Linked DNA regions of Macaca mulatta. The protein of the gene in region 6 interacts with the protein of the main gene of each other region in a pairwise test. Links are inferred from orthologs where the notes say so. Each region holds a gene or a part of one and is shown on either strand. Other genes may lie near its edges. The genes, in order: ZBTB32, AMMECR1, SF1, RUSC1, CCNK, RBPMS and QKI.

The links.
Region 1: the proteins of RBPMS (region 6) and ZBTB32 interact in a two-hybrid assay, tested with the Homo sapiens proteins (3 studies listed by BioGRID). The two-hybrid records come from large-scale screens. The link is inferred for Macaca mulatta from reciprocal best matches to the Homo sapiens genes RBPMS and ZBTB32.
Region 2: the proteins of RBPMS (region 6) and AMMECR1 interact in binary tests that used the Homo sapiens proteins (3 or more experiments, as listed by UniProt). The two-hybrid records come from large-scale screens. The link is inferred for Macaca mulatta from reciprocal best matches to the Homo sapiens genes RBPMS and AMMECR1.
Region 3: the proteins of RBPMS (region 6) and SF1 interact in a two-hybrid assay, tested with the Homo sapiens proteins (3 studies listed by BioGRID and IntAct). The link is inferred for Macaca mulatta from reciprocal best matches to the Homo sapiens genes RBPMS and SF1.
Region 4: the proteins of RBPMS (region 6) and RUSC1 interact in binary tests that used the Homo sapiens proteins (3 or more experiments, as listed by UniProt). The two-hybrid records come from large-scale screens. The link is inferred for Macaca mulatta from reciprocal best matches to the Homo sapiens genes RBPMS and RUSC1.
Region 5: the proteins of RBPMS (region 6) and CCNK interact in binary tests that used the Homo sapiens proteins (3 or more experiments, as listed by UniProt). The two-hybrid records come from large-scale screens. The link is inferred for Macaca mulatta from reciprocal best matches to the Homo sapiens genes RBPMS and CCNK.
Region 7: the proteins of RBPMS (region 6) and QKI interact in binary tests that used the Homo sapiens proteins (3 or more experiments, as listed by UniProt). The link is inferred for Macaca mulatta from reciprocal best matches to the Homo sapiens genes RBPMS and QKI.

The regions. Positions count from the first base shown.
Region 1 is NC_133424.1:46,949,466-46,953,838, forward strand, and holds the start of ZBTB32 (zinc finger and BTB domain-containing protein 32), read left to right. Parts: upstream 1-1,292; 5' UTR 1,293-1,566; intron 1,567-2,523; 5' UTR 2,524-2,573; intron 2,574-2,793; exon of another isoform or gene 2,794-3,002; intron 3,003-4,373. UniProt on the Homo sapiens protein: DNA-binding protein that binds to the to a 5'-TGTACAGTGT-3' core sequence. May function as a transcriptional transactivator and transcriptional repressor. Probably exerts its repressor effect by preventing GATA3 from binding to DNA.
Region 2 is NC_133426.1:117,106,310-117,110,782, forward strand, and holds the start of AMMECR1 (nuclear protein AMMECR1), read right to left. Parts: upstream 3,023-4,473; 5' UTR 3,010-3,022; coding exon 2,537-3,009; intron 1-2,536.
Region 3 is NC_133419.1:9,632,402-9,635,138, reverse strand, and holds the end of SF1 (splicing factor 1), read right to left. Parts: intron 2,352-2,737; coding exon 2,014-2,351; 3' UTR 1,788-2,013; coding exon of another isoform or gene 1,585-1,787; 3' UTR 793-1,584; downstream 1-792. UniProt on the Homo sapiens protein: Necessary for the ATP-dependent first step of spliceosome assembly. Binds to the intron branch point sequence (BPS) 5'-UACUAAC-3' of the pre-mRNA. May act as transcription repressor.
Region 4 is NC_133406.1:111,658,803-111,662,964, forward strand, and holds the start of RUSC1 (AP-4 complex accessory subunit RUSC1), read right to left. Parts: upstream 2,406-4,162; 5' UTR 2,277-2,405; coding exon 911-2,276; exon of another isoform or gene 640-910; coding exon 229-639; exon of another isoform or gene 1-228. Other genes in the region: putative uncharacterized protein RUSC1-AS1, read left to right, coding at 2,485-3,471; FDPS (farnesyl pyrophosphate synthase), read right to left, coding at 3,453-3,653. UniProt on the Homo sapiens protein: Associates with the adapter-like complex 4 (AP-4) and may therefore play a role in vesicular trafficking of proteins at the trans-Golgi network. Signaling adapter which plays a role in neuronal differentiation.
Region 5 is NC_133412.1:172,832,287-172,836,207, forward strand, and holds the end of CCNK (cyclin-K), read left to right. Parts: intron 1-2,074; coding exon 2,075-2,700; 3' UTR 2,701-3,430; downstream 3,431-3,921. UniProt on the Homo sapiens protein: Regulatory subunit of cyclin-dependent kinases that mediates activation of target kinases.
Region 6 is NC_133413.1:32,278,793-32,282,713, reverse strand, and holds part of RBPMS (RNA-binding protein with multiple splicing), read right to left. Parts: intron 2,716-3,921; coding exon 2,565-2,715; intron 1-2,564.
Region 7 is NC_133409.1:8,730,036-8,734,746, forward strand, and holds the start of QKI (KH domain-containing RNA-binding protein QKI), read right to left. Parts: upstream 2,832-4,711; 5' UTR 2,384-2,831; coding exon 2,242-2,383; intron 1-2,241. UniProt on the Homo sapiens protein: RNA reader protein, which recognizes and binds specific RNAs, thereby regulating RNA metabolic processes, such as pre-mRNA splicing, circular RNA (circRNA) formation, mRNA export, mRNA stability and/or translation.

The DNA.
Region 1 (4,373 bases), on a different chromosome or scaffold from region 6:
CCGAGATTGCGCCACTGCACTCCAGCCTGGGCGACAGAGCGAGAGTCCGTCTCAAAAAACAAAAACAAAAAACAAAAAAAAACAAAAACAAAAACAAAACAAAACAAAAAGGCCGGGCGCGGTGGCTCACGCCTGTAATCCCAGCACTTTGGGAGGCCGAGGCGGGCGGATCACAAGGTCAGGAAATCGAGACCATGGTGAAACCCCGTCTCTACTAAAAATAGAAAAAATTAGCCGGGCGCAGTGGCTGGCGCCTGTAGTCCCAGCTACTCGGGAGGCTGAGGCAGGAGAATGGCGTGAACCCGGGAGGCGGAGCTTGCAGTGAGCCGAGATTGCGCCACTGCACTCCAGCCTGGGCGACAGAGCAAGACTCCGTCTCAAAAAAAAAAAAAAAAAAAAAAAAAAAACGACTTCACCTCTTTAGTTATTTAGGTTATTTAGGTTTCAACGAGTTGATGCACAAGCGTAGCACATGGAAAGGGCTGGATAAACGCGAGGTGCTGTTACTCCCACCACAGCGCCAGTCCTTCTCCCCTTTTTACTTTACTTTTTATTTTTATTTTTTGAGATAGAGTCTTGCTCTTTCGCCCAGGCTGGAGCGTAGTGGCGCCATCTTGGCTCACTGTAACTTCCGCCTCTCGGGTTCAAGCAATTCACCTGTCTCAGCCTCCTGAGTAGCTGGGATTACAGGCGTCCCCCACCACGTCTGGCTAATTTTTGTATTTTTAGTAGAGACGGGGTTTCACTATATTTGTCAGGCTGGTCTCGAACTCCGGAGCTCAGGTGATCTGCCCGCCTCGGCCTCCCAAAGTGCTGGGATTACAGGCGTGAGCCACCGTGCCCGGCCCCTTCCCCCATTTTAGCGGTTTCGCTCCCTATTGGGGCCAGGGACGCCTCAGGCTGTCTCTGTCAAGACCTACAGCTCTGGCTGTTGTCCCAGGCTCTTCCGCGAGGTGCTCTCCTGCCTCCTGACCACCCCCATTCCCCCCCGCTCGAACTCCTCAGCGAGCGGCTGCGAAGGACGCGCCAACACTCCGCGTAGCGGGAAGGGACCGAAATCTCATCACAGCCTGAAATTGCTGCGCTAAACTCCCGCCCCGCTGCCCTCTGGTCAGTTTAAAGCGAAGACGAGCCTTAGGGCCAGTCAGAGGCGGCAGCGGAGGAGCCATGCCCGCCTCCTTGAGGCGCCCTGGCGTCTCATTGGCTGTGCTTGAGAATGAATCCCGGGCTAAGCCGCTTAGAAAGGAGCGGAGCCAGCCAATCAGCGGTGCAACCGCCGCGGGGGCCGGGCCAGAAGGCCCGCAGACAAGCACCTCGGAAGATTGGCAAGGGGCGAGCTCGCAGCTTGTCAGCCCCGAAGCCCTGCCCAGGGGGAAAGCCTGCTGGAGGGAGTCTAATCCCCGGGCCAGTTAATGTTGGGGCAGCGCAATCGGCCGTTCCCTCTGCGGTGGGGTGGTGGGCGGGAGTGCTGACACGTCCGCGCGCCGTTACTCCTGGCTGAGCATACAGTCGAGGTGGCAGTGGGAATTGGAAGTGCGAGTGTCACACTGCCAATCACCGGGCAAGGTACTGCCCCCTCTTGTGTCTTCCTTGTCCCTGTACACGTCCAGGCGAGGCAGAGTGAGCTGTGCCAGCAGTCGTAGTGGAGTGGGACAAGAGGACAAGAGGAGAGAAAAGGGAGCTGTCCACAGGCACCGAAGCCTGGCTGACTTTTTTTTTTTTTTGAGGCGGAGTCTCGCTCTGTCTCCTAGGCGGAGTGCAGTGGTGCGATCTCGGCTCCCTGCAATCCCGGGGTTCAAGCGATTCTCCTGTCTCAGGCTCCCAAGTAGCTGGAATTACAGGTGCCCGCCACCACGCTCAGCTAATTTTTGTATTTTTAGTAGAGATGGGGTTTCACCATGTTGGTCATGCTGTTCTCGAACTCCTGACTCCAGATGATCCGCCCGCCTCAGCCTCTCAAAGTGCTGGGATTACAGGCGTGAGCCACCGCGCCCTGCCTGGCTGGCTCTTTTATTTTATCTTTATTTATTAGAGACAGGGTCTCACTATGTCACCCAGGCTGCAGTGCAGTGATGTGATCATAGCTCACTGCAGCCTCGACCTCCTGGGCTCAAGGGATCCTACTACCACCTGGACCTCTCAAAGCGCTGGGATTACGGGCATGAGACACAGTGCCTGGCCTTGGCTTGCTCTTATGGGCCTCCAGGCCAATCAGGTGTGGCGGCAGCCTACACACCCCTACACACTTCCCAGATGGTAAAGGGTTGAGAGAAAGGTGACAGGGTTTGCAAATGGGAGCTACTTAGGGAGGCAAAATAGAAGCAAGAAAGGCAGGTCAGGCACGGTGTCTCACGGCTGTAGTCCCAGAATTTTGGGAGGCCCAGGCGGGAGGATTGCTTGAGCCCAGGAGTTCCAGGCTGCAGTGAACTATGATTGCACCATTGCACTCCAGCACGGGCAACGGAGGGAGACCCTGTTCATAAAATAAAAATGAAATAATTTTTTTTTTTTTTTAAAAAAAAGGACAGTGGTACTCCGGAGCACTTGCTGAGGGAGCCTCCAGGGCTGTTCAGGTAAGGGAGAATCAGGGTCCAGTCTCTTCATGGAGAGAGTGGGAAAGGGCAGACTCCACAGCCAATCAACGCTGGAGCCCGGCTGGAAATCAATGAAATCTCAGCCTAAGAGGCCTGAAGCCTACGGACCAATGAGACTCAAGGCCCTGCCTCTTCACAGCCAATCAGCTGCAGGTCAGAGACAGACGCGCGGGAGTGGCGCTGTCCTAGGTGCCTCCCATGCTGCCCAGCGTGCTCAGCTGGCCTGAGCGGGAGAGTGCGACCCGCGCTGCAGCCAATCAGCGTCCGCCTCAGGATCTGGGGGTGACCACGTGCGGGAGCCTTGCGTCCCTGGCCTCGCTCCACTCCCCACTTTTAACGGTCACTCGGCCTTGAGCCATCCTGAGTGTATGTGAGGCTGAAAGGGAAGGAGGAACAGGGTCTGGGCCGGTGAGTGCCATAGTTTTTCTTTACTTTCTTGGGCTTGGGCCTGGCCCAGGCAAAGCTGGGGTGTGGGAGTTTGGCCCCGTTGATGATTGGGAAGTGCGGGTTGAGGGTTTTAGCCCTTAGGGCTTTCCTCTGTCTTTGAGAGGCTGGAAATGCAGCCTCCTGGCCACCTTTAGGCCTAGGTTTGGCAGAGGCCAAGCCAGCTTGCCCTCTGGGTTGGTCCACGGCCCCTGAGGCCAGCCTGAGTGCGAAGGGTGTTGTGGGGAAGTTGCAGGCCCTTAGCTCTGCACAGGGTCATTGACCATGAGGTATGGCCTCTGGACAATGAGAGGTTACGAGGGGTCTCTGGACTGAGCCTGAATCTGGTGACTGAAAGGAGAGGCCTGAGGATCTCCAAAGGTTATGTAGGGGCCGGGCACGGTGGCTCATGCCTGTAATCCCAGCACTTTGGGAGGCTGAGGCAGGTGGATCATTTGAGGTCAGGAGTTTGAGACCAGCCTGGCCAACATGGAGAAACTCTGTCTCTACGAGGTTTCCAAAAAAAATTACCTGGGCATGGGGGCACATGTCTGTAATTCCAGTTACTCAGAAAGCTGAGGCAGGAGCACAGCTTGAACCCGGGAGGTGAAGGTTGCAGTGAGCCGAGATTGTGCCATTGCACTCCAGCCTGGGCGACAGAACGAGACCCTGTCTTAAGAAAAAAAAAAAAGAAAAGGAAAAAAAAAGTTACGTAGAAAGTCACTGGCCAAGAGATGAAACTAGTGTTCACTTGAAGGTCTTCTGGGGTCTTTGGAGCCAGCCTGGGCTGGGAGTGAATGTTCTGGACTCCAGGTTGAGATGTTCTTGGGAGATTTCCCAGTATGGGGTCCAGGTTGGATGATGTGGCCAAGAGGTTAGGCCAGTAATCCTCTGGAGATTCTAGGGAGAAGGGTTCTGAATCTCAGCCAAGCTGTTTGCCCTGGATGAAGTATTATTACCCTGTGGTGGCTCTGTACAGAACTAGGATTGGGTGGCCGGGCGTGGTGGCTCACACCTGTAATCCCAGCACTTTGGGAGGCTGAGGTGGGCGGATCACCAGGTCAGGAGCTCGAGACCAGCCTGACCAAGATGGTGAAACCCTGTCTCTACTGAAAATACAAAAATTAGCCGGGCGTGTGGCAGGCACCTGTAATCCCAGCTACTCAGGAGTCTGAGGCAGGAGAATCACTTGAACCCGGGAGGCAGAGGTTGCAGTGAGCCGAGATCATGCCATTGCACTCCTGCCAGGGCAACAGAGCAACACTCTGTCTCAAAAAAAAAAAAAAAAAAAAAAAAAAAAAAAGCCGGGTGTGGTGGCTTAAGCCTGTAATCCCAGCACTTTGGGAGGCCGAGACG
Region 2 (4,473 bases), on a different chromosome or scaffold from region 6:
TGACATGATAATAACTAGGAGAAAAAAAAAAATCCCAGTATGTCTGTTTATGTCTTATGGCACTTAGGATAAAGCAACACTAATAAGTACACAATGCTGTTAAATATGTAAAACAGAAAGACAAATGTGTGGTACTTACTAAGGCACTGTTGAAATGCTTAGTTATTTCCCTCCCATAATGAGGAAGCTTTCCTGAATTTTCCACAGTACACCTCAAAAATGAGTTGAAGATATATGGAAATAAGACAGTCCATTTTCCACTTAAGTGAACTTTCATTCTCCACTTGGTCATCTTCAGTGTCTACTCTACATTAGTTATTTTATAGAATACTTGACACATTCAAGGTCTGCTAAATGATAATAGTTCTTCTTCTTCCACCACCGTTTCAACATATCCACAGCGGTCAAAAGTGTGTCCTATCATCTGCTTAATTCCATGAAAAAGAAATCCAGGGGCTGGGGTGTTTGAAGAGAATAATATCTAAATATGTGTGCAAAGTGGCTACTGTTAAAATGAAATTTTCAAAAGCATTTTCTGTATGAACTGGTCAAGCTCACTTTCCTTTTAAAATTCTTGCTATAGTCATTGAGTTAACCCAAACTCACTTTAAAATGTGTGAAAATAGCACCTCCTGAAAGTGTGTTCTCATATGCTTTGGAGCAATGGAGCGTGAATACTAAAGCAGCCTTTGCCAAACTCATGTAACAGCTCAAGAACTAAACAGGAGTGAATTTTTGCAGTCCCATGACTTTGCAGAGCCAACCTAAGTATCATCCCAGGACTAGCTTTAATATATCAAAGACATCCAAGAGAAGGCAGAAAAGTCACAAATAAGTGACTCAAGCTAATAAATATTTCATAGATTTTTTTACATGGCAGTCTTTTCAAAATCAATTTTACTTCTTAACCAAAAAAATTAATTGGCTAAATAAAGGTGTGGACTTAGGATTTAAGCTTCTAGAATTAACACTATGAAATTTATAAAGATATTTGTTTGACAAAGTGTTCTCCTGGATGCTCTTTCATGCACTTCTCATGAACCAATGCCCAAAGATTAACCAAGTCTAAAAGAAAATGCACAGACCACAGAAGAGTCATACAAAATTAAGACATTTAAAGAATAAAAGCCAAATAAAACAAACAGTACAAATGCACAATTTCCAGGACACTTTATTGTAATTTCCACTTTACATATTAATATTTTAGTCTAGGCAGAAGTGTTTATACTTATACAATAGTAGTCCAATCCTCTAATCTCACAAAATGAAGCAGTTTTAAAAGAACATCAATTAAGGTATTTATGATATGGGGGACAAGCGGCACTTTTAGCTGGAAAAGGGGGTGATGCCTTTCAGTACGAGTTTCACTGAAATTTTTCCTGTATTATTTTTCTTGTTGATGCTAAGTACTCAAATAAAAGCAATTGCACTTTTTCTCATTCTGCCCTCTCTTGGTCTTTACATTCTGTCTAGCATTTAACTCAAAAAGTCAGTTTACATTCAGTTTACACATTAAAAAAAAAAACCATATGCCCCATCTCCCACACATGCAAATGGACAGGGATTAGAATTAACCTGGCTTTTAGCTGTAACAGTGCTATTTAAAAATTTTCAACCACACACTTGAAGGGTAAGATAATTTAAGGTACAAAACCAAAGGAAACCATAACAATTCCTACACATTTACTATTTAACTGTTCTCAAATCATCGAGTATAACATGGATTTCTTAAAAAGTGAAATCGACACAAAAGCGAATGCACGCTTAATGTACAAACTGACAGTGGCTCTGTGGGGACAGTTCTCTTTGAATGAGCTATTATCCAGACAGTGGAATGAAAAAAAAAAAAAAAAAAAAAAGGTCTCACTCTTCAAATGTGAGGAAGCCGGCAGTGCGCTCGCTTCACGAGAAACACATTTTAATGGGTGTATTTGGATAAAAATAAGTAGTAAGGGAAAATGTGTTTTAAGAAACCTCCCCCTTTCCCAGGGCACAAGGAAACCCAGAGGAAAAGATGGGTAACCTCACAAGCTCCAGAGCTAAGTTCCATCACTAACAGAAGTTGGATACTTGCTATTTTTCGCCCTGCAATGGGATAGTAGTTCTCCATGTGCAAGGTACGCGGGGCGGGAATACTGGCGGGGCTTTCACTTGGGGTAACGGAAACCAAAGTGAGGAGAGGTCAACACCTTGAGTAACCCAGATCTCCAAAACCGGGGCAGGGTGAGGGGTGGTAGGGGTGGTGAAGAAGACAAGTAAAGGGGTCAAAACTCCTCGAAGTCATCGCAAAGAGAAAGCTAACACCTCTAGGAGCCACGGGGCCATCCCTTGCAGCAGCACCCTGCTCCAAGTGTGGGGTGCCTGCCTCGGAGGGCAAAAAGCGCAGGGTGCCCTTAGTTCAGTTGAGTGGCTCCGGGGACCCGGGCAGCGAGAGGGCAGGGGCATCCGCCGGCCGGGAGGCGGACTCGCACTTTGCCTCAACTCTGAGCCCCATCCCGAGCGCAAGGGAGAGGGCGGCGGAGGGCACGGTACTCACTAGGGCTCGTTGGTGAATCGGGGGGTCCGGGGCTGCTGGTATCCGTACAGGTGACAGTAGAGCACATCGAAGCAAAAGCAGCACATCTCTGCTGACACCACCATCTTCCGGGAGCCCGGCGATGAGGACGAGGCGGCGGACGATGAGGAGGGTGAGGAAGAGGTGGCGGCGGCCGGGGTAGAAAGTAGGGTCCCCACTCCGCAGCTCGGAGGTGGCGACAGGGCGATCCCCCCGCCGCCGCCGCCGCAGCCCTGGGGGGGAGAGAGGGTACAGCCGCTGCCGCTACCTCCTCCGGTTAGACCTCCCAGCCCGTTGAGCCGCGTACCGGCGCCTCCTAGTCCCAGCTCCCCAGCTCGGCACTGGCTCTCTCCGCTGCAGTGGGAGGAGGAGGAGGCGCCACCACCGCCACCCGAGCCAGAGGGGGGCGAACTGGACAGTTTCTGCTTCTTCACCCCGCAGCAACCCGCCGCCATCTTGGAACAGTCTCCCCCACGCAGCGTTTCCGACCCATAAGTGAGGCGAGCTGGCGGCGGGGGCGAGCACGCTGCGGCCCAGGCCGCCGGGGGCGCGCCAGAGGCTGGCGGGGCGCGCGCGCGCCGTTCCCGGCCCCGTCTGCCTAGCCACGCGGCTGCCCCGCGCGCGCCCCCGCCTCGGTGCGCGCTCCTCGCTTTCGCGGCTGGGCGCCTCGCGCCTGTCCCGCCGGACTCGTGCCTCTTCTGAGCCGCAGCCCCAGCCCCAGCCCGAATCTCAATCTCTGCGGCCGGCAGAGGATGGAAGCCAGGAAGCCGATTAGAAAGGAAGGTGAAGGAAACAAGAGTCAGATAGTGGAAAGTGGGAGCTAAGGGAAGAGGTGGGCACGCCCGGGAAGGAAGGAGGGAAAGGGAAACTAGTGGGGGCAGGGGGGAAGAAAGGAGAAAGTCCGAAGTGAGCATCCAGGTCCCAAAGCACAGCTCAGTGACCCCCGCTGCAAGTAGTATTAATGACACTTAAGCCCAGTTACGTGGAACCTGAGCCACCCGGCCTCAAATACACGGGTTTCTGAACTGTTGGAGTGTGAGCGAGCAGGTGCCTGAAGCTCCATACCTGAGACCGCCCCTGTTAAGTATGTACAAAGCAGTCGGGGAAATGGCCACGCTGCTCTTTTTAATTCCAGCCTAAGCACACACCAGGGTACTCTTTCCTTTCCTTATGGAGAAATATTCAAGTCCGATTGAATCGATGTATCTTGTACTTGTTCCCCCGACTTACCCTCCTAGCCGTTTGTAAACATTAAAAAGCCAAAAATAAAGTCCTAACTAATACTTCACTGGTTCAAAGATATTAATTGTGCTTTGGGACTTGCAGTGGTGGACTTTTCTGGTTTTGGTTTTTATTTCTTGGCTTGGGTAAAAAGCAATTAGGAATATTATCTGTAGTGCTCAGATCTTAGAGATAAATAGGGAAGGTAATGTACTTAGTCACAAATTGAAAGATTTTGTTTAAGTATATAATTAGCTCTTAATATTCACTTTAAAAATTTCTCAATTAAATGCTTGGATGGATGAGGAGGCATATGAGTCAGTCCCTTTCTAGGTGCCTAAGTGTAGCTTAATAATAAAAATAATGACAATAAATGTTAAAATTTGTAGAAATGAACCTGATAGAAAGCGTAAGTTATTTGCATTGTATCTACACCATGCTAGAACATCTAGATAAAGTCAGGTATCTGCATATTTTAAAACTGCAGATTGGTTTTTGTCACCTTTTATCTACATGCGTGGGATCTTGCAGATAGCTGGGGGCTGTTCATTCCACTCAGGGAATAAAAACAAAACAATTTATTCATTCAGTAATATTGAGCCTCTGCACCATACTATGTGCACAACACTATACTTCTGTTGAAATCCAGGGCGTGCGCAGGAAGTATGCCTCCCACTCTCAAAGAGTTTATGAATTAA
Region 3 (2,737 bases), on a different chromosome or scaffold from region 6:
CAGCAGCCAGGCGCTGGGGGGAGCCTACTGTCCCTCAGCCGTCCTGAAGGAAGGAGAGGCAGGTGGAACCAGGGCAGCTCTAAGGCACCTCTCCCCAGGAGAGGACCTCACTACCTGGTGGAGACTACACATGGATTTCTCTGGAACCGTAACAGGAACTACCCACTCACTGTCCAAGACATAAAAAAAAGCAGAAGACCCTTCGAAAAGTGCTGGCAAAGCACAAGGTGGAGCACTTTATCCTGTCCCTGCCCCCCCACCCCAAGCCTACAGTGCTGGCAGGCTGCAAGTCACCAGCAGAGAAGGAAAAAAGCCACTTGGCGGTTTTAATTTTAGCTGCTCTGTGCCTGACAGGCAGGATTAGTTGGCTTGACCTTTAGTGTTGATGCCTCCCTAGGCCCAGGGCCTTAGTCAGGTGGCAGCTTCCAGGCACAAATCACCACTGGAGCTCATCAAACATGGAGGTCTGAGCCCCAGGAAAAGGCCTTCAAAGGACAGAGGCTAGAAAGATGAGCGGTGACCAAGGAGGGGCAAAATTGGTTCTCAGCGATGTTAACTAGTCACCAAAGGGGAGACTGTGGAGCCACCCACACACTCAGCTCCCACCACCAAAGCCACACACAGGAGGCAGGTGGTGGGCTTCCCTAATTAACCACCCACAGTCTCACCCCCGGACCAGGTGCTGAACAAAAGTTAAGGCAACGTTGGTGCTGCTGCTGCTGGTAGAGGAAGTTTATGTGAAAAGAAAAAGCAGGGGGTGGGGGGGGCATTAAAAATAAAGAAGCAGACCCAGAAAACCACACTGCTCTTTTATTCAATGGAACATCCCCGCTTTAGCGCAGTGTTGAATCTAACACCAAAAAAAGCCCAGAGAAATTTCTGCAGATAAACCAGTGAAGAGAACGCGCAGTATACATTATCATCAACATAATCACTCCATGGAAAGGGAAGCGGGAGGAAAAAGGAAGGAGAATAAACGAGGGGCTCAAACCCCTAGACACTGCAAAACATTCAGACATTTGGGATTAAAATAAAACACAAAAGAAAGCCTTCCAGGAAGGAGAGGACCAAATGGAATCTGAGGCAGCTCAGGTGGTCAAGGAGCACGGGAAGAACTCCAGGCTGGCAGGCGAGCCCAAGGGAGCTCAGGCTGCCCACCCACTGCTGGCAGGAGCGCCAGGGCGGATGGGAATCCTGGAACCTGGAAATGAACCTACCCTCGGCAACCGTACAAGACTCCCTTGACAAGGGTGGCAGAGACTAAAAAACCTCACACTTTAAATATCTTCGGGGGTGGCTATGGCGCCTTGAAAAACTTAGAACCAAAGAACGCCACAACCAGCTTGACATGAATGGCTGCAGCCCATGCCCAAAACCATTTGCTCCCCTCTCCTTGGTAAGGGAAGGAGAACTGGAGAGAAGGGAAAGGAATCTAATTGCAGCAGAAGACCGGGGAGAGCATCTCCTTGGACGGAGTCTGAAGAAAGGAAGAGATAAGGAAATAACAAAGGAAAAAGAAAAAAAAATTAATAAAAATTTCACGATATGGAGCCAGCGTGTTCCGATTCCGTCCACAAAAATAACTCAGGCTGCTTTGCCGAACCATCCTGTCCACCAGGGGCGTTGCTGAGGCTGTCTGCCTGGAAGGGTCACCAATGGGCGCGGAAAGTCCTCACTCTCATGGCTCGGGCCATCGCCGCCGCGGGGAGGGATCCTGGCGGCCCGGTTTGGGGAGAGGCAAAGGGAGTTGGGTGAGGAGAGAAAGAAGACAAAGAAGACACTCGATGCTACGGGGCGCCAGGAGAGCTCAAGCTGGCGCCCCTACTACCACCTGCCCGTTCCCAAGCGAATCCTCAGTCGCTTGGCCCAGCCCAGTGCGTGCACACACACACATGCGTGCACACACAATCACATGCGTGCGTCCCAATGTCTGGCTCCATATGGTGAGGTTCGGCGTGTTTAAACGAGACCAATTCTCTCTATATATAATATATATTTTCTTAAAAAACAAGTCTAGTTCTGTGGTGGAGGCGGTGGGGGAGCTGGAGGCATCCCGAAGGGCGGCATGCCCGCCACCCCCATGCCCATCATGGTGACAAAGTTAGAAGGGTCCATGGGAGGCGGAGGAGGAGGGGGCGGGGCATACATCATGCCGGCGGAACCAGGTGGTGGAGGCGGCGGAGGGGGAGGGGCCCCAGGCGGCAGAGGCGGCTGGACCCCGGGGGGCAGGGGCACCATAGTGGGGTTGCCTTGCATCTGAGGGGCTCCTGGAGAAGCTGCGGCAGCCGCCTGCTGCTGTTGCCATGGCGGGATGGACCCTGTGCCAGCGCTCGTGGTGGTAGTCGTCGTATCTGGGGTGGTAAAGAAGCCCAAGGTCACACGCGCGGGGGCACACCGCGGCTGTCTGCGGCTGCTGCCTTGGGATGGGGGCGAGGGGCGCCTGCTCCTTGCTTGGCATGCGGTACGGTGGTGGGGGGCGGGCGGGCGGGGCTGGTGATGGGGAGTGGAGGGGTGGGCACGACTACCCTGGGGTCAGCCTCGAGGTCTCTGGGCTTAACAGAGTAAGCCCTTTGTCACCAATGCCCCTGGAAGGGCTGAGGGGAAGGTACCAGACACAAGAACAGCTCTGATGTCCCTCCGCCCAGCCGCCGCCACCACCGAACGGCACATTCAACCTCAAGGTCACAGCTGCTCTCTCCCCACTGCCCGGTCCCACCTCTGCAGTCTCTCACCCCAA
Region 4 (4,162 bases), on a different chromosome or scaffold from region 6:
TGGAGCAGGAAAGGCAACAACTTCCCCTCTCCAGCACTAGGAACGGGGCCAGATTCCCCAAAACCGACGAACTTGCTTGGAGTCCGCCGAAACGGAAGGGCGGGACCAAGCTGGGCAACCCCAGAAAAAAAGCGAAAATGGGGCCGGGCGATAGTGGGAGGGGCCTTGGAGCGGGCGGGGCGGCCCGCCTGAGGCGTGGCCCGCGGGGCTTGCCCGGGTCCGTCTTACGTAGCCTGGGCGGAGGCGATGGGCTCCTGGTCCAGCGAGGGGCCTTCGGCGGACGAGGTTGCGGTGGCAGCGGGGGGGCGGGTACCTGGCGGGGTGGGGGAGCCGCGGCGGGGAAGGTGCTACTTCTGGGAAAGAGCGGGGACAGCAGCAGTGCCAGCTCGGGGCTGGCCAGGCAGGGCAAGGCTCCCCGAGTCGGAGGCGAATAGGCTCCCACTGGGGACAGGCGGACGGGCAGCAGCTGCTCCTCTGGGGGGCTCGGCGCCCCCAGCAGCCGCAGCCCAGCGCCAGGCCACCCTGCCAGAGGAGCCAGGAGCAGAGACCCAGCTGCGCCTGCGCCCCCACCCTCCAACAGGGGGCGCCCGTCGGCCGAGAACCGGAAAACCAGGGGCCGAGGGAGCAGGAGGGGACCGGCTGCAGGCGGGATTGGCGGGGCCAGGCGCAGAGGGAAGGAGGGCAGCGGGATGGGCAGCCAGGCAAGGAGGGGCGGGAAGAAGAGGGAGCAAAGAGTTAGTCCCATATCCCAATGACCCACCCAGTTTCCCTTTCCCGGAGCGCTCCCTGGTAGAAGGGGCGGGGAGGATGGGTGACACAGAATGGAGGGAAGACAGGGGGCCGGGTTGGAAGCCTAGGAGGCGTGAGCGGCCGAAGCCCAGCCCTCCTCCCGCTTCTTGCGACCTCTTACCCTCCAGGCCGGCCTGCGCGCCCGGCTCTCCCGGCTCCTTCGCGGCTGGGGCCTCCTCGCCAGCCGCTGGGCTGACAGCCCGGCCCTCCTCGGACTGCCCCTCCGCTATGGGCTGCAGTCCAGGTCGGTTCTTCTTCCTTCGGGGAGGGACAGGCGGGGGTGGGGGCCGGGGCGGGACCAAAGCCCAGCCAGCTGGGGGGTCTCGAGGCGGGACTGGCGGGGGTGGGGCCCGGCTTCGGGACCGGAGTTCCTTGAAGGTGGTGACTTCCCGAGGAGGTGCCGAGGAGCCGCCCAGCGACCCCGAGGGGGGCAGCTCGGTGTCGGGCGAGAAGACTATGAGCCAGTCACTGCGATCTTTCTTGGCCTGCGGGACGAGGGGCAGCCCTGGGCCCCGCTTGCGCTTCTGGGCCAGCTCGTGGAAGGACGTGATTGTCCGGTGGGGCACCGGCTCCTCGCTGACGTCACTTCTCCATCCTCCATCAATTTTCCCTGCATCTGTTTTCGAGCCAGAATCAGTTATTCTTGTGTTGGTTTTCCAACCAGAGTCGAATTTTTCAGGTTCATTTTTCCAGCTAGAGTTAACATTCCCGTTGTTTTTCCAACCAGTGTTACTGTTTTCCGTGTTTTTCCATTCAGCTTTAGTTTTCTCTGTGTCAATTTTCCAAATTGGGTTAATCTTCCAACTGGGCTCCGTTTTCCCAGCGTCGATTTTCCCATCATCCGCCTCTAAGAGCTCAGAGGTAGGGAGATCCTGCTCCGCGCTCTCATCCTCTTCCTCCAAGCCTGGGGAAGGGAGGTCCTGGCAGGTGGTCAGGGCGTTGCAGTTCGAGTCCAGGCCAGGATCGGGTGAAGAAGAAGCTCCGGAGCAGGAATCAGGAGAGCAGCAGAAGCTGTCCGGTGAGCAGGTGCCAGGGCCTGCTGAAGCCAGTGGGGAACCTTGCTCCAGGGGGATGATACTGGGCTGAGGGTGGGCATCCTCATCACCAGGGAGGTCCCGCAAGTAGACTGAGACGGGGGACTCATCGGGGCTAAGATCTGAGCAGGAGCTGAGCGAGGAAGAGCAGCCTGGGTCTGAGGGAGAGGCAGCCCCCTCTTCCTCCTGTGATGGGTCCTGCCGGTTTTCTAGGCCCGGACCGTGCTCCTGGCAGCACCGGCAGGGCACAGCTGGGCTGTTGGAATTGGCGTCCACCAGGGTGCCACTGCAGGGGCCCCTGCTCTCCTTGCCCCCAGTGTCTCCTGGGGGAGGGGATGTGCTCAAGGGCCCTTCCCGTAGCTCAGGACGGCGGGACAAGTGCAGGCCCAGGGAGACGTGCTGGAGATGGATGTGATTGAGGTTGCAGAGTAAAGCTCTCTGAGGAGACAGCATGGTGCCAGCGGCGATGGGATGGCTTCTAGAGAACCAGGAGGGTAGGGTCTCTCACATCCACCTACCTGGCAACCACAGGTGCAGACCTAGAAGACAGGGGTGGCGAAGCCCAGCCAGTGAGGACAGGAGCTGCGGGAAGGACACTGAGGTGACTGACGGCAGCAGCAGGCCTGAAGGCTCTGGCTGCTTTGGAAGATATTTCAATGAGATGCAAATCGCAATCGACTGGCCATTAGTTTCCACTGCAGTGTTTGCAGGTGGAGTCGAATGTAACCCTCCGGGAATGGAGCCGGGAGGGTCAGAGAACGCGGCTGCGCTCTGGATTTCCGAAGGGGGGCGGGGGCCCGGAAGAGGTCCGGGCCCAGAATGGACCTCCGGGTCCCTGCTGCCGCAATCTGGCCCTGCCCTCCTGCCTACCCCTTACTCCCACAGGAAGGGACCCAGGGAGACCCACCCAGATGCCCTGAAAGGAGGCGGGGGATGGGGGTGGGTCGATATGCAGAGTTTGCCTGGTGAATGCAGGAAAGGGGTGGGAGCTGGAGAGGAAAAGGATGGAGCAGCCGTCAGCTCGTCAACTCCACATCTGCTGGCTGCCTCCGCCGGGCTCCAGCCTGCGCCCTCGCCCCTCAGAACAGCGGTATGTCCATTCTCTCCGCATTCGTCTCCATCGTTCAGTCACCACCGCACCCCTTCTCTATTCATTTCTCCTGCTCCCTTGTCCTGCCCCGCCCCTCGTGCCCTGGTCCATCGGCCTACACCCATGGGCCGAGCCCTCCTCACCAGGGTCCTCCTGGAACCGCTCCGGCCTTGGGCTTGTCCTCGGCTCCCACGGTCCCCGCCCGGCGGGGCACAGAGCGGGAGGGGAGGGGCACTAGCACAACCCACTCTGCGCAGCGCATCTGCACCCCTTCGCGCATGGGCGTGGCGTAGCTCAGACCCGCCCCCAGCGCTTAGCGTCTTGTGTCACCCACCTAGCGGGTTTGATGTATCCCAAGCTTTTGGCCCTGATGCCAAGGCCCCTGGGTCCCGCTTCTGTGCAGCGAGTCCTCCCAGCACCCCACCCCGCACATTCTGGAAAGAGCCAGACTCTGGCTGCGCCGAGCAAGAACAGAACCACAAAAAGGTTACACAATTATTTATTGAGAGCCTCCTCTCCCCATCCTTGCAATCTCTAGGTCACTTTTTCCGCTTGTAGATTTTGCGCGCAAGCCCCAGAAAGATGGCTGGGGGCAGGGGCGCTGCGTACTGTTCAATGAGAGCCATAATGTGGCTGTAACTGTCCTCCTCATATTGCAAGAACACAGCCTGCAGATCCAGCTCCTCATATAGTGCCTTCACCCGGGCCACTTTCTCAGCCTCCTTCTGCCCGTAATTTTCCTAAAAGGGGTTGGAAGACAGGAAAACGGGCTTGGCCTTCCCCAGAGCCTCCAGGACCCCTCCACTCCTCTCATTCTCATATTTCAGAACATCTCCAAAGCCACCCACTCCTTTCCTCCCTCCAATTTTCTTTTTTTTTTTTTTTGAGATGGAGTCTGGCTCTGTCGCCCAGGCTGGAGTGCAGTGGCCGGATCTCAGCTCACTGCAAGCTCGCCTCCCGGGTTTACGCCATTCTCCTGCCTCAGCCTCCCGAGTAGCTGGGACTACAGGCGCCCACCACCTCACCCGGCTAGTTTATTTTTTTGTGTTTTTTAGTAGAGACGGGGTTTCACTGTGTTAGCCAGGTTGGTCTCGATCTCCTGACCTCGTGATCCACCCGTCTCGGCCTCCCAAAGTGCTGGGATTACAGGCTTGAGCAACCGCGCCCGGCCTCCTCCCTCCAATTTTCAAGTGTTTCTAGGTAGCTAGGATCCCAAGCTTCCCTTCCCTATCCCAAATATTCCCTACAT
Region 5 (3,921 bases), on a different chromosome or scaffold from region 6:
TTGGGCCAAATCCCAAAACCCCCAATTCAATATGAACTTTACTTAAAAAAATGCTTGCGGCTGCTCGTGAAGCATTTAAGGAGCACCTCCTCGCCAAGTACAGTTCCCCTGGTCCAAGCCTGGGGCTGTGCCTTCACTGAGGAGACGGATGGTTCACCTGGGGATCCCGGGGCGGCCAGAGAGGTGCTGCTGCCTCCAGGGCACTGAGTAGCTGCTGTGGAGGCCTCAGAGCTCTGCTCCCTCCCACATTACAGACAGCCAGGAGTAGGCCTGGGACTTGAGTGGGACCTGGGAACCAGATACACTGCCAGGAGGCCATGGCTGGAAAGAGCAGGGCCTGGGAGGCACAGTAAAGCTGGGCCACGAGGAACGGAGGGAAGCACGCTTCCTGGGAGGCCCTAGACCATGGGAAGAGGTGTTCAGGTCAGCAGTGATGTTTAGGGAGGGGTTTGGTGGCAGTGTATGGCACTTGGTCAGGAGCAAGTGTACAGAGGGAATGGGGTGCCGAGGATAGACCCCCACTTGCTGTTCGAGCTCAGTCACACAGCACAAGGGCGGGTGCACTGGTGACTTGAAGATTCAGGCTGCAGGGTCGAGTGTTGGAAGAGTTGGCTTCTGCAAGGTAGAGGAGCAGGCCTGTGGCCCAGGTGGCTGTGGAATGACACACAGGAGGCATTGAAGGGTGTCAGCGCTTTTCTGCACCTCTTTTTTAGTCAGCTTCTGGAACCACAGGGCATCTGGCCCTGACCTGGAGCCAAAGCCAGTTCTCTAAGGCCAGGCATATATGGCCTTCCTGCCCAGTGGCTGGCGAGGGCTGATCTGCACAGGCAGTCCCCAATGGCACACCTGTTACCAGCCCAATCAATCCTGCTCATGCTCGCTTTGGCAAGATCAAACGGGTTGTGTGCCAATGGCCACGTCTACACAACCAGGATGTCATGCTCTGCCTTCCCTAACCCAAGTGCCTGGGGAACCAGAAGCATCTTCATGGCCTTTGTCCTCTTTATGTTCTCTGGAACCAGAAATGTTGTGCCTATGGTTTGTCTCCTGTGCTGCCTTGGGAAAGGACACTCATTCTGTGTGTTTGGCTACTTGTGGTGGGGTGTTCCGACGCCATTTTCCAGGGGTCTGATGGTGACCAAGAGATCACAGGCCAAAATGTGTTAAATAAGGCTTTGGCGGAAGGGGGCATGAGGGCTCATGGGCTGGGAGGCGCTGCGGGAGGGGCCTGAGGCTGGTTCTGAGCACAAGTATCTTGGGTGTGCTTGACACCTAGTGCTGCCTATCCCTGCTGCATACACACAGCAGCACGCACACACACAGCAGCACGCACGCACACAGCAGCACGCACACACACAGCAGCACGCACACACACAGCAGCACGCACACACACAGCAGCACGCACACACACAGCAGCACGCACACACACGAAGCATGCACACACACGCAGCACGTAGCACGCAGCACGCACGCGCAGCACGCTTGCACACACTCCTCTCAAGGAGGCTGCTATCTGAGAGTACGCAGTGGGGTTTGATCTAACCCCTCTTGAGTAGAATAGAACCTGAATTGCTGCTTCGATGGGTACATTGGGAATGTCAGAGACTTGTACGGAATTATTTTAAATGCCATCACATTCATTTGACCAACTCTGAGGCTTTCTGCAAAATGCCACTGCTGCAGACAGGAGTTCAGTGTGGCCCTGACTCTTGGGGTCAGTTTCTGAAGGCAGAAAAACAGAGGAGCCCCCACACATTTTACACTAGGAAGAGGGGGCTGGGGCCAGGGCACAAGGGGGCTTCGTGTGCTGCCGAGACTGCCTGCGGGTGGTGTGGTTAGGGCTGAGGGAGGGAAACCCCAGCTCATCACAGACAGGGTGGAGGGCCTTTTTGACAAATGGTGGGGAGACATCTGGTGGCATCAGGACATGGGGAACGGGCCCATGTGTTGGGCCACAGAGGAAGGGGCAGCTGCTCCCTGCTCCTCTGTAAAGATGGCCCTGAAGGGCCAGGAGGCACTGAAAAAGCAGCTATTGCTTGCAGAGGCCGGGCACCAACACATCTCTCTCCTGCAGACCGGAAGCCTCCCCTCGCTGCTGCCTTAGGTGAGGCTGAGCCGCCGGGCCCTGTGGATGCCACTGACCTCCCCAAAGTCCAGATTCCTCCTCCGGCTCACCCGGCCCCTGTGCACCAGCCACCGCCGCTGCCACACCGGCCCCCGCCCCCGCCGCCCTCCAGCTACATGACTGGGATGTCCACCACCAGCTCCTACATGTCTGGAGAGGGCTACCAGAGCCTGCAGTCCATGATGAAGACCGAGGGACCCTCCTACGGCGCCCTGCCCCCCGCATACGGCCCACCTGCACACCTGCCCTACCACCCCCATGTCTACCCACCCAATCCGCCCCCACCACCTGTGCCTCCTCCCCCAGCCTCCTTCCCCCCACCTGCCATCCCGCCCCCTACTCCTGGCTACCCTCCACCCCCACCCACCTACAACCCCAACTTCCCACCCCCACCTCCACGCCTGCCCCCTACCCATGCAGTCCCCCCTCATCCTCCTCCAGGCTTGGGCCTGCCTCCAGCCAGCTACCCACCTCCTGCCGTGCCCCCTGGAGGACAGCCCCCTGTGCCCCCGCCCATTCCCCCACCTGGCATGCCTCCAGTTGGGGGACTGGGGCGGGCAGCCTGGATGAGATAACGTGAGCCTTTTTTTCCCCCTTTGTTTTTTTTAACAAGTTTTTCTAATCGACTTGCAGAGTAGTTGAAGTGGGTAAGCAGCAGGGTACCTTATATAATGCGCGACAGTTGCAGTATGGGAAGAATGGACCAGGCCCCTGGGATAAAATCAGGGTGGTCCTCACATCTAGAGGACGGGGACAGCCAGCTTTCAGAGTAGCCTCATCAGCGCCCTTGCAGTCTGACTGTGTACACTTGGTTCAGCTAATGTCTGAGAGTCCTGCACTGGGTTACTTTATACTAGTGAAGATGTTAACCAGCCATATTGGCTCAATAAATAGCTTCGGTAAGGAGTTAATTTCCTTCTAGAAATCAGTGCCTACTTTTCCTGGAAACTCATTTTAAATAGTCAAATTCCATCTGAAGTCAAGCTGTTGTCATTTTCATTCAATGACGTTCTCTCCCATGACACCCAGAAGGGTCAGAAGAACCACATTTTTGATTTATAGATGTTTGCATCCTTTGTATTAAAATCATTTTGAAGGGGTTGCCTCGTTGGATGGCTTTTTTTCCTCCAAGGAGAAGGGGAGAAATGTACTTGGAAAGTAATGTATGTTTACATCTATTTGCAAATTCCTGTACATAGAGATACATTTTTTAAGTGTGAATGTAACAACATACTGTGAATTCCATCTTGGTTACAAATGAGACTCCTTCAGTCAGTTATCCAAATAAAAGCAGTTCTGAAACTATCCCTTTCTCTGTTAATGGGTGGAAGGTAGGGCTCCAGGCCTTCGCAGTCCCCGGGTGATAACATTGTACAAGCCCCTCCTTCCGGACCCTGGGCACCGGGAGAGGCCTGGCTGCAGTTCACAGGAGCCAGAGCCAACCCCACTGCCTCCCAGGGCACTCTGGGTGGATCGGCACATTGGCCTGCCAAGCCAGCCTGCACCCATCCTGTGCCTGCCTTGGTTTCCTTTGGAGGACCTGGTTGAGTTCCAAACCAGCTTGAAACTTTCAAGCCTTGCTGCATAGAACACAGACGGGAACACAGGCTTGGGTTTGAAACCCTTTCCACTTCTGGCCTGCGATGAGACGGAGGCAGCTGGAGGAGCAGCGGCCTCGCCATCCACCTTGAGGGGCCAGGGCTGTGTCTGTGGAAGGGGCCCCGACTGAGCCCCCATCTGAGGTGCTTGAAGGGCCTTGGCCCTGTCTCTGCTTGCTGACCCTGCCACCCATGACG
Region 6 (3,921 bases):
ATGAGACCAAGTTTTTCTGACAACTTTGACTATCATCAACTCCTCAGAATGACAGCTCTTTAAAGGCAGCAACCAATTTCCTTCTTCTCCAGAGTCCAGCACACTGGGTGCTCGTTTAAGTTCATTAAGTTCAGATATATGGAGAATTCAGAGTTCAAGTACATGTTTGTTGTATAATCAAACCACAGAACATTCTTCTTTTAGCGATGGCAACGAGTGCTTTTCAGCCACTACCATATAAAAAATTAACAAAAAGAAACATTTACAAAAAACCTCTATGGCCTACAACAAAGATTAGCCTTCAGGGCCTTTCCAATCCCCAAATTCTGCAATTCCATTATAGTCTACACCTGATTAGTTAAACCGACCACCTTGAGTACCCAATTCTGAGTACAATGCAACTGGGCTTGTCCGTGTAAACCCAACACAGTGTTCTTAGTCTTGCGGTGTGCTTCCAGGTAAGCAAGTTTATCTGACGGGCAAGTTCCCAGTTCCCAGAGGGAATGGCGATGGATAATAAAGTTGACCTGAGCCACAGTGGACTTGCTCTTATCAAGACGTTGTGTCGTAAAAATGAGCTATATTAAGATAAATCATGCTGACTTTTATTTTCCTCAAGAATACACTGCTGGCTGCTTGGATTTATTTATTTATTTATTTATTTATTTATTTAAACTTCAAATTTGTGTTGCTGTCAACAGCTGAGCAAGTTTTTACCCTGTCATGGAAACTATCTGGCCATTTTTGTACTGTTCTGTATGCTGGGAAGGGAGATGAGTAGAGCTTGCCAGAAAAGAGTTCTAAGCTCGGTTACTATGCTGTCCTGTAACTTCAGGGACTTGTGAATGTTCAGTTTGTTCCTATTTGTTGCTTTTGTATAGCATGTTGTGACCTGGCTACAACCTTCCTGGCTACCTATGTCACAGGGCTGTTGTAGGAAATTCACAAAAAGTTTTGTGGGCCTGTTAAAAAGAGCATTCAGCAAAGAATTGAGGATGTAAAGTTAAGTATCACCAGCATTACGTTTCCTGTCTGAATTAATCTTTTCAAAGAACTCTGAGATCTGAGGTTGGCAAATTCACTAAAAAGGCAAAGAATTACTTTAGGTTATTTTTACAAATTCAGGCATCCTAAAAATACTCTTTTTTGATGCCTTGATCAAGAGAGAAGAAATTTCAGAGAGAAGAGGCATAGAAATCCATCTGTAGTTCTACAAGTAGCCCAATTTCAGTATCAATTTATCCACTCACTATAATAAATATTAAATACATACAATATACAAAGTATTAAGCTAGATACTCTAAGGATGAAGAATTATGTAAAGGATGTTCCTATATTCTGCTGTATTACAAGTACACTGTAAGATGTAACTTTTGTTTAGATTTCCTTCCCAAATAAGTAAGCAAAGTTTTCTAGTTTCCCTGGGACAAAGAAGGTGAAAGAACAAAATAATTTTTTCATCTATTATGACTTTCTGGATTCATAGAAACATTTATTTTAGAACATTCTGGAAGACTTATCTATTAGTTTCTACTGATGAGTAGCAAGCAAGAGTGACTGAGCTACAGAATGGCTGTGACTTCCAAAGATAACCTGATTAAATCTGACATGCATGTGACATGGGGGGAGCAAGGAATCCATGTGTCCTTCAATTTCAATAAGAAGAGTTAAAAATGTATTATCAAAGGAAGAAGATCACAATCGTGTGGTTTCGAAAGCAGACCAAAAATGACAGGACAGAAATATTCCAAATAACTTGGAATCCAAGTCATTTGGGTTTCCTTGAATGCCCTGCCATATTAAATCACGTATGGCTCTGTAATGAAAGGAAAAGTTAAGGCCTGTCTCATGCCCCATTTCTGCCACTGACTGAGCTTGAGAAAGAAAATTCAATCTTTTAAAGTTATTCAATGAAAGGCAGAAATAATGAAATAAGCTTATTAATGTGGGGTAGAAGATGTCTTGAGCAATCAGCCAGTGTCCTTATCCAATTAAGTTGAAACAGGAAGCCCCAAATTTCCTTAAAGTTTTGCTGGTATTAGTTTGCTAGACTGACTGTTCCAATATATAAATTCTTTGTGTGTGTTTACTTTTCCCCCTAGAGTTATGGCTAAACTGAATAGAACCAACTTCCTAAGATCTGCTTCTTTCACTTTTAATATCCTATTTTTCCAAAGCCACCGAGCTGATGTCCTTCAACAAATGGATTAAAGTGAATGCTGAGAACCAGCTCTCATGTCTGAGCATGGAGAAATAAAGGGTTTATACCCAAGGCAACTAGGGGCATACTCACAATGGTCAATGTCACATTAAGGAAATCTGTAGTACATCAAATGAAATTCTGAAGTTATGATTCTGTTCAAGCTGAACCATCTTTTGGGACAGCCTATTGCAAACAAGATTGCTGTATTTGGAATTCTGACACCAAGAACGCCTAGGCAACCTCTTCACAGAAATGGAAAATAAGACTCAGCCAGCTCCATGTCCCGTGGTGTAACCTCACATGCAGCACACGAACGGTTCTTAGTTATTATTATTTTTAAATGAAAAGTAGATCGACTTACATGGCTCTCTGGCAATGAACTGAGGTACAGTGTTGGGCAGAGGAGTACTGGGGTTTGGAGTCCCTACGAGTTTGTTCTTGGCCATCTTCGTGTTTGCCTTAGCAAACTCTAGTCGTAGTGTTTGCGGAATTTCAGGATCGAAGCGGATGCCCTTTGGAAACAGAGAACAAATGGAAGATGTTTTCATTTCCTTAGAGTCAAACCGGAATGGTGACAAAATAAACACACCAGTAAACCCTGGTCTATCAGGAAAAAAGGTCAGCAACCACTGTCATTCTTACTACTTACACAGGTTACAGGAAAAATGACAACACAAAGTGTCCTGAAAGTCAGTGGTATTTAATTTACTTAAAAAATGTAGTTACACAGATTTTCAACTATTCCTTTTCTTTTTAGACAAAAACTTTCCAGTTTAAAATTTGAACCAGGAAATTCCTAGCACAGTTATACACTTTAATGTATAGTAATTTCAGTTACCTTTGACCCTATTCCTGCAGTTTACCTAAAACAGATTATATTCAGTAAAATAAATCACAGACACTATGAAAGACAAGTTAGGGCAAGACAAGTCTATTTGGAATCCTTCCACCATTCAAGAATGCCTTCATTATTAAGCATCCAATACCATGAATTCTGGACCCTACATGTCAAAAAGCTATCCCAAGAGAGTGCATTTTAAATATGCACCCATGGGACCCACTCAGTTCCCATGTTTTCATGGTGGGGTCTGGAAAGGGACTGGAGTCCTGAAAATGAGTCTCCAAAGACCACAGTTGCCATTTAGTGTTCTGAATGTATACACATGGGCCTGAGGGCTCCAAAGCATCCCCCGTCCCCTCGCCACCGTTCTTCCTAATGAGCTTGAAAAAAAATAAGAGCAGGCAGGGTGCTGTGGCTCATGCCCTAGCTCATTCCCGTCATCCTAGCACTTTGGGAGGCCAAGGCGAGTGGATTGCCTTAGTTCGGGAGTTCAACACCAGCCTGGGCAACATGGTGAAACCCTGTCTCTACTAAAATATAAAAAAAAAATTAGCTGGGCGTGGCGGCATGTGCCTGTAATCCCAGTTACTTGGAATGCTGAGACAGAATGGCTTGAGCCCGTGAGGCAGAGGTTGCAGTAAACCAAGATCGCGCCATTGCACGCTAGCCTGGGTGACAGAGCTAGACTCTGTCTCAAAAAAAAAGAAAGAAAAAGAAATATCCACAAAAATAAGACTCTCTTACTTTAGAGACCAGGATGAACAACTCAGAACTTCAAACTTCACAGGCTCAGCTTCAAGGATACAAGGAAGAGCCTGTGGCTGGATAGTAATGGCATTAACAGGAAATAAGGGGTGAAGGGGAAGGAAAGAGAGGT
Region 7 (4,711 bases), on a different chromosome or scaffold from region 6:
GCCTAAGGTTGGAAACTTGATAACAAGGAATCAGCTCTAAATTTAGAGATTTTAGATCAACACAAAAGCACAAGAAGCCTTTTAAAACTAAAGAAACTCAAAAGTATGCAGTTTTTTAAATAGTATACATAAGGTGAAAGTATTTTCACATTTTTGGAATCTCCTACAGTCTTTGAATTCAACATTTCAAGAATACAATTTAATTTTAATTAACCCTAAATATTGTCAAGGCCTATTTTCATTTTATCGTCGATAAAGGATTCCTTCTAAACAACTGCACTCAAGAAAAAAAACTTTCACCAGAAATTGTTACTAATATTACTAAAACTTTAACTTAACCGAAATATGCCAAGGAGAAAATATTAAGAGTGTTACTTTTGAAACGTCATGAAGTTGTGCTAATAATTTTAAGGAAAGTGTTTTCAATGTTCGAAAACACTATATAAACACATGACAAATCAAATAATCTATAATTTAAGTTTCAACTAAATTTAATATAGGTCAGATTACTGAGTATGTTACACATTTGGTTCCAACCATTTCCATGGTTAAAAAATAACTGGCGCCCCTTAGCGCTCACATTTGGAAATACTCAATTTAAGAGTTCCAGCAATTTTTTTTTTTTTTTTTGACATTCCAGAAAGTTTTCTGCCTCCACAATCTTTCAAATGCCAACACAAACAGGAAAAGCAGAACCCTTTAAAGGGACAGCTCAAGTTTTCTCTGGAGCAACTTGAAATTAACAGATTTGCTGTTCCAACAGTGGAAAATGCCCATTTCAATGCTGGTGAGTGCTGTATGTTTAACATATGGAAGCAAAACGACGAGAAAGCCGTAACACCTAACCATTTTCTACTTTTAAGTTGTTTCTTTGACTTTCAAGACAATAAAACTCCAGGGATTTTTCTTTAATCATCTTTTTATCATGGAAACATTTCCGGCCTTTTGTTCTCTAATGACATTCCAACTCCCCAAGCTTCAAACTCCTGTTCCCCGACTCTATTTTTAAAATCTCGAAATTCTTGCGAAAAATCTAAACTCCATTGCTCATCTCTTCAACCTAAAGTTTTCAGTTTCCTTTACACAGTCCTCCGGTGATGCCTCTGAGCAGGAAAAAAAAAAAAAAAAAAAAAAACTCCTGGCTAGTCGATTTTCGAAACACTTTTTTGTGGTCATTTATTTTTGTCTCTAGGCGTCCACAGAAACCCACAGCTACTAGAAATTAATACTCCAGATACTGCTATGAGAACTTCTTAAGGAAATTCCAGAGTTGGTCAACATTAATCTTCTTGTCATTCTTCGCTCCCCACAGCGCTCCATAAAGCTTTTTGAAAACTTCGGCTCAATTTTATTTCGCCCTTTCCAAACGTCTCGATTCCCTGTCCTACAAACTCGGGCGGCTGCGTCTCCGGGAGCAAACCCTCCGCCCAAGTTCTTCCTAACTCAGGCTGCGCTCCGATCTGTCATCGCGTTATTTCGCACTCCACCCCCCCCCCACCCCCGAAAAGTGAAGTTCAACTCCCTAACAGTTCTCGCTTCCCCAAACAAAAGGGAAAAAAGTGCTTTTCGCCGTCACTTCGTCCTCCTTGTCGGCTACGCCAGCATAATTTCGGTCTCCTATGGAATTTCTTTAAACTAACGAGCCCCACTCTGACTTCCACTTAGTATTTACCAGCTGCTCCAACTCCCCAAGCACGAAACCCCGCTTTAGTCCTCATGGGAGGGAGAGAGCTCCCGAACGCGGGGCAGCGGGGGTCCGCGCAGAGCAAGCTCAGGAGGTCGAGGAGAGGAGCGGGGCCCGCGCCGGGGACACGCGCGTCCTCCAGGCCGGCGGCGCGGCGTGGGCCTGCTCTCGGGAGGGCTTGGCGAGGACCACCGAGCCCGCGCAGCCCCCGCTGGCCTCTCGGAAATGTGACCGCCAAAGCCAGAGGGGCCGCAGGGTTCGCCCCGCAGCCCTCCGCAGCGCACAAACTTGGGCGCCAGCGGCGCGGGGTCCCGGGCCGGGCAGGGGGCGTCCGGCCCCGGCGGGTCCACCCCGGCCCGCCCGCCGGCCCGCCCGCCCGCCCGCCGCCGCCGCAAGCCCGGCCCGGCGCCTCCTTTGTGCGCCCTCCTGGCCTCCCAGTCCCCCCGGCGCGCGGTCCCGCCCGGCCGTGACCTTCCCGCCCTCCCCACCATCCCAAGCAGGGAAAGGGGCCGCCCCGGCGGGGATCGGGCCGGGGCCGGGGCCCCGGAGACGCTCACCTTCGTCCAGCAGCCGCTCGAGGTGGTTGAAGATCCCGCAGAAGTTGGGCAGGCTGCTCATGAGCTTCTTGTCGTTCATCAGCTGCATCAGGTAATCTGGGGTGGGCTTCGGCTTCTCCTTCGTTTCCATTTCCCCGACCATATTCCAGGCTCCGCAGCTCACTCCGCCCGCCGCCGCCGCCGCCGCCGGAGAGGAGGGAGGGGCGGGGGCGAGCCCCGGCCGCGGGCCGCTCGGGACCCGGCGTCCCGCTCCGCGCCGGCTCCCGCTCTGGCTCCCGCGCCGAGCCCCGGGGCGGCCGGCACCGCGCGCTCGCCCGCCCCCCGCAGGCACTTTCCGCCCGGGCCCGACGCGCTCCCAGCCGCCGCCGCTCTCGGCCGCCCGGCTCGGCGCGTCCCTCACGAGGCCGGCGGGCGGGCGGGAGGCGGGTCTCGGCTGGCCGAGTGCGGGCGCAGGGCGCGGGCCGCTGGCGCCGGACGAGGAGGAGCCGGGGCCGCCGCTCGCTCGGCTGGTCGCGCCCGCTCAGCGCCGCCGCCGCCTGTGCCGCGGGCTCGGGGGGTCTCTCTGGGCTGGTCCCCGCCGCGGCGCCTCTGCCGCTGCCGCTGCCGCCGCGCTCTGACTGCGCTCCTCCTCTTCCTCCTCCTCCTTCTCCTCCTCCTCCTCACTCACTTGGCGGCGGAGTTCGCCTCAGTTCAGGCGGCGCTGCCAGCGGCGGCGGCAGCAGCGGCGGGGGGGGAGGGGCGAAGGCGCGGGGAGGGCCGGGGGCGGGCGGCGGGCGGGGCCGCGCAGGGCGGCCGTTAGCGGGGCCCGGCCGGCGCGCTCCCGCTGCCCGACGCCCCCCGACCCGGGCAGCAGCCGGCGCCGTGCCCCCTCCTCCCTGCCTCCCTGGCGGGGCGGGCGGCGGGGGCGACGGGAGCGTGACGGGCGGCGGCGCTCGGCGGCCCCGGGCCTGGGCGCAGGGACTGGGTCGCCGCCGTGCGGGGCGCCCGGGGCGGGTGGGTGTGGGTTGCGGGGCTGACGGCCGCGGGGGGGCGCGGGGCTCGGGCGCGGTTGGGGCTGGCGCGGCAGGCGGGAGGAATTCCAGCGGGACGCGCCAGCGCTGCCTCCGCCTCGCCTCCCGTTACTATAGTTTTTTCAGAACCTCTCATCCACCCCGCAGAAAAGAAATTTTTTTTAACGTCCTGTTGCTTCACGGGGGACTTTCGGGGTGGGCATCACGTGGCCCGACACGTAGCCATGGGGCTCCAGAGCGCGTGCGCGCGTCGTGCCCCGTGGCCACGCCCCTTCCGAGGGTCGCTCCGCCCCCGCCGGGCCCCGCGAGCGCGCGGTGGGGGAGGGAAGGGGCCCGGAGCGCGCCTGCGTGGGGCGTGGGCGGGGCTGGGGGCGGCAGCCGCCTAGGGGCTGGGGCTGCCCGTTTAGGGCCGGGTGCTGGCCAGTCGCCCACGGTGCGGAGGGCTGGTGGGCTTGCCCTGGCCGTCGGGCCCGCCACCTCGCGGGTCTTGGCTGCGGGGCGGGGGTGTGGCGGGGGAGCCGAGGACTGGAGTTTGAGGCTTTCTGAGGCGCGTGCGGCGGCGTCCGCCTCTGCGGGGTAGGGCGCCCGTCGCGCCGGGCTCCCGCTTTGTCGCCGAGGGAACCACGCGCGACGCCCCTCCCGTCGCCGCCGTGGCTCCCTTCCGTGTTCGTGATTTGCTGAGAGGCTGGAAAGCAGCACGGCGGAGAGAAGCCTCGCGCTCGCCAGGCGGGGAAGCGTGCGCGGACACGCGTGCGCACCCACGGGGCGGTGGGCGGGCGTGGGGGGTCTGGGCCAAGCGGTTGACGCGCCGCCAGGGAAGCGATCTTGTTGCACCTTCTCGTTATTCTGAAAGCAAATCGTAGCGAGACCCGAGCGCAGCGGCTTAGCAAATTATAAGGGGAGCGTTAGTCGTGCTCGAAATGCTTCTTTCGCGATGGCATCAGTGTTCCGTGAGGGAATGAAGCCGCAGTAGGAAAGAGCCTGTGCGCGTAGTCTGAAAAGCAGAAGTCAACATTTTTACAGATGAAGAAAGAATACGGAGGCAAGAGGTCTTTCTCTGCAGTGTGGTGGATTTCCAACATTTAGATTTGTTTGGAAGAATGTTCTGAGCTGCAACAATGAAGTCCTCCTTGATCTATAGAAGTCGACAGTCCCTAAATCTACATCTGCATCTGCATTTTGTTGCAAATCCTTTATAACATTCCATTAAAATAATGCAGTTATTTAATATCCAATTGATACTGAGTAATTCGCGGCTGAAATTTACTGTTAATCATTCTGTCTTCTGACTTAATAGTGAACGTAGGTGATTTTTTTTGTGAAATGTTGCTTCACACGAATTCTGAGAATCACCTCTAAGTTTGAGTTGTACTGAAGGCACTACAAGAATTTCAAACGAACGCTGAGTGGCCAGTAGCTTCTGGCCTTTTCATTTAACAAGCACAGAGTTCGTTTGTAAA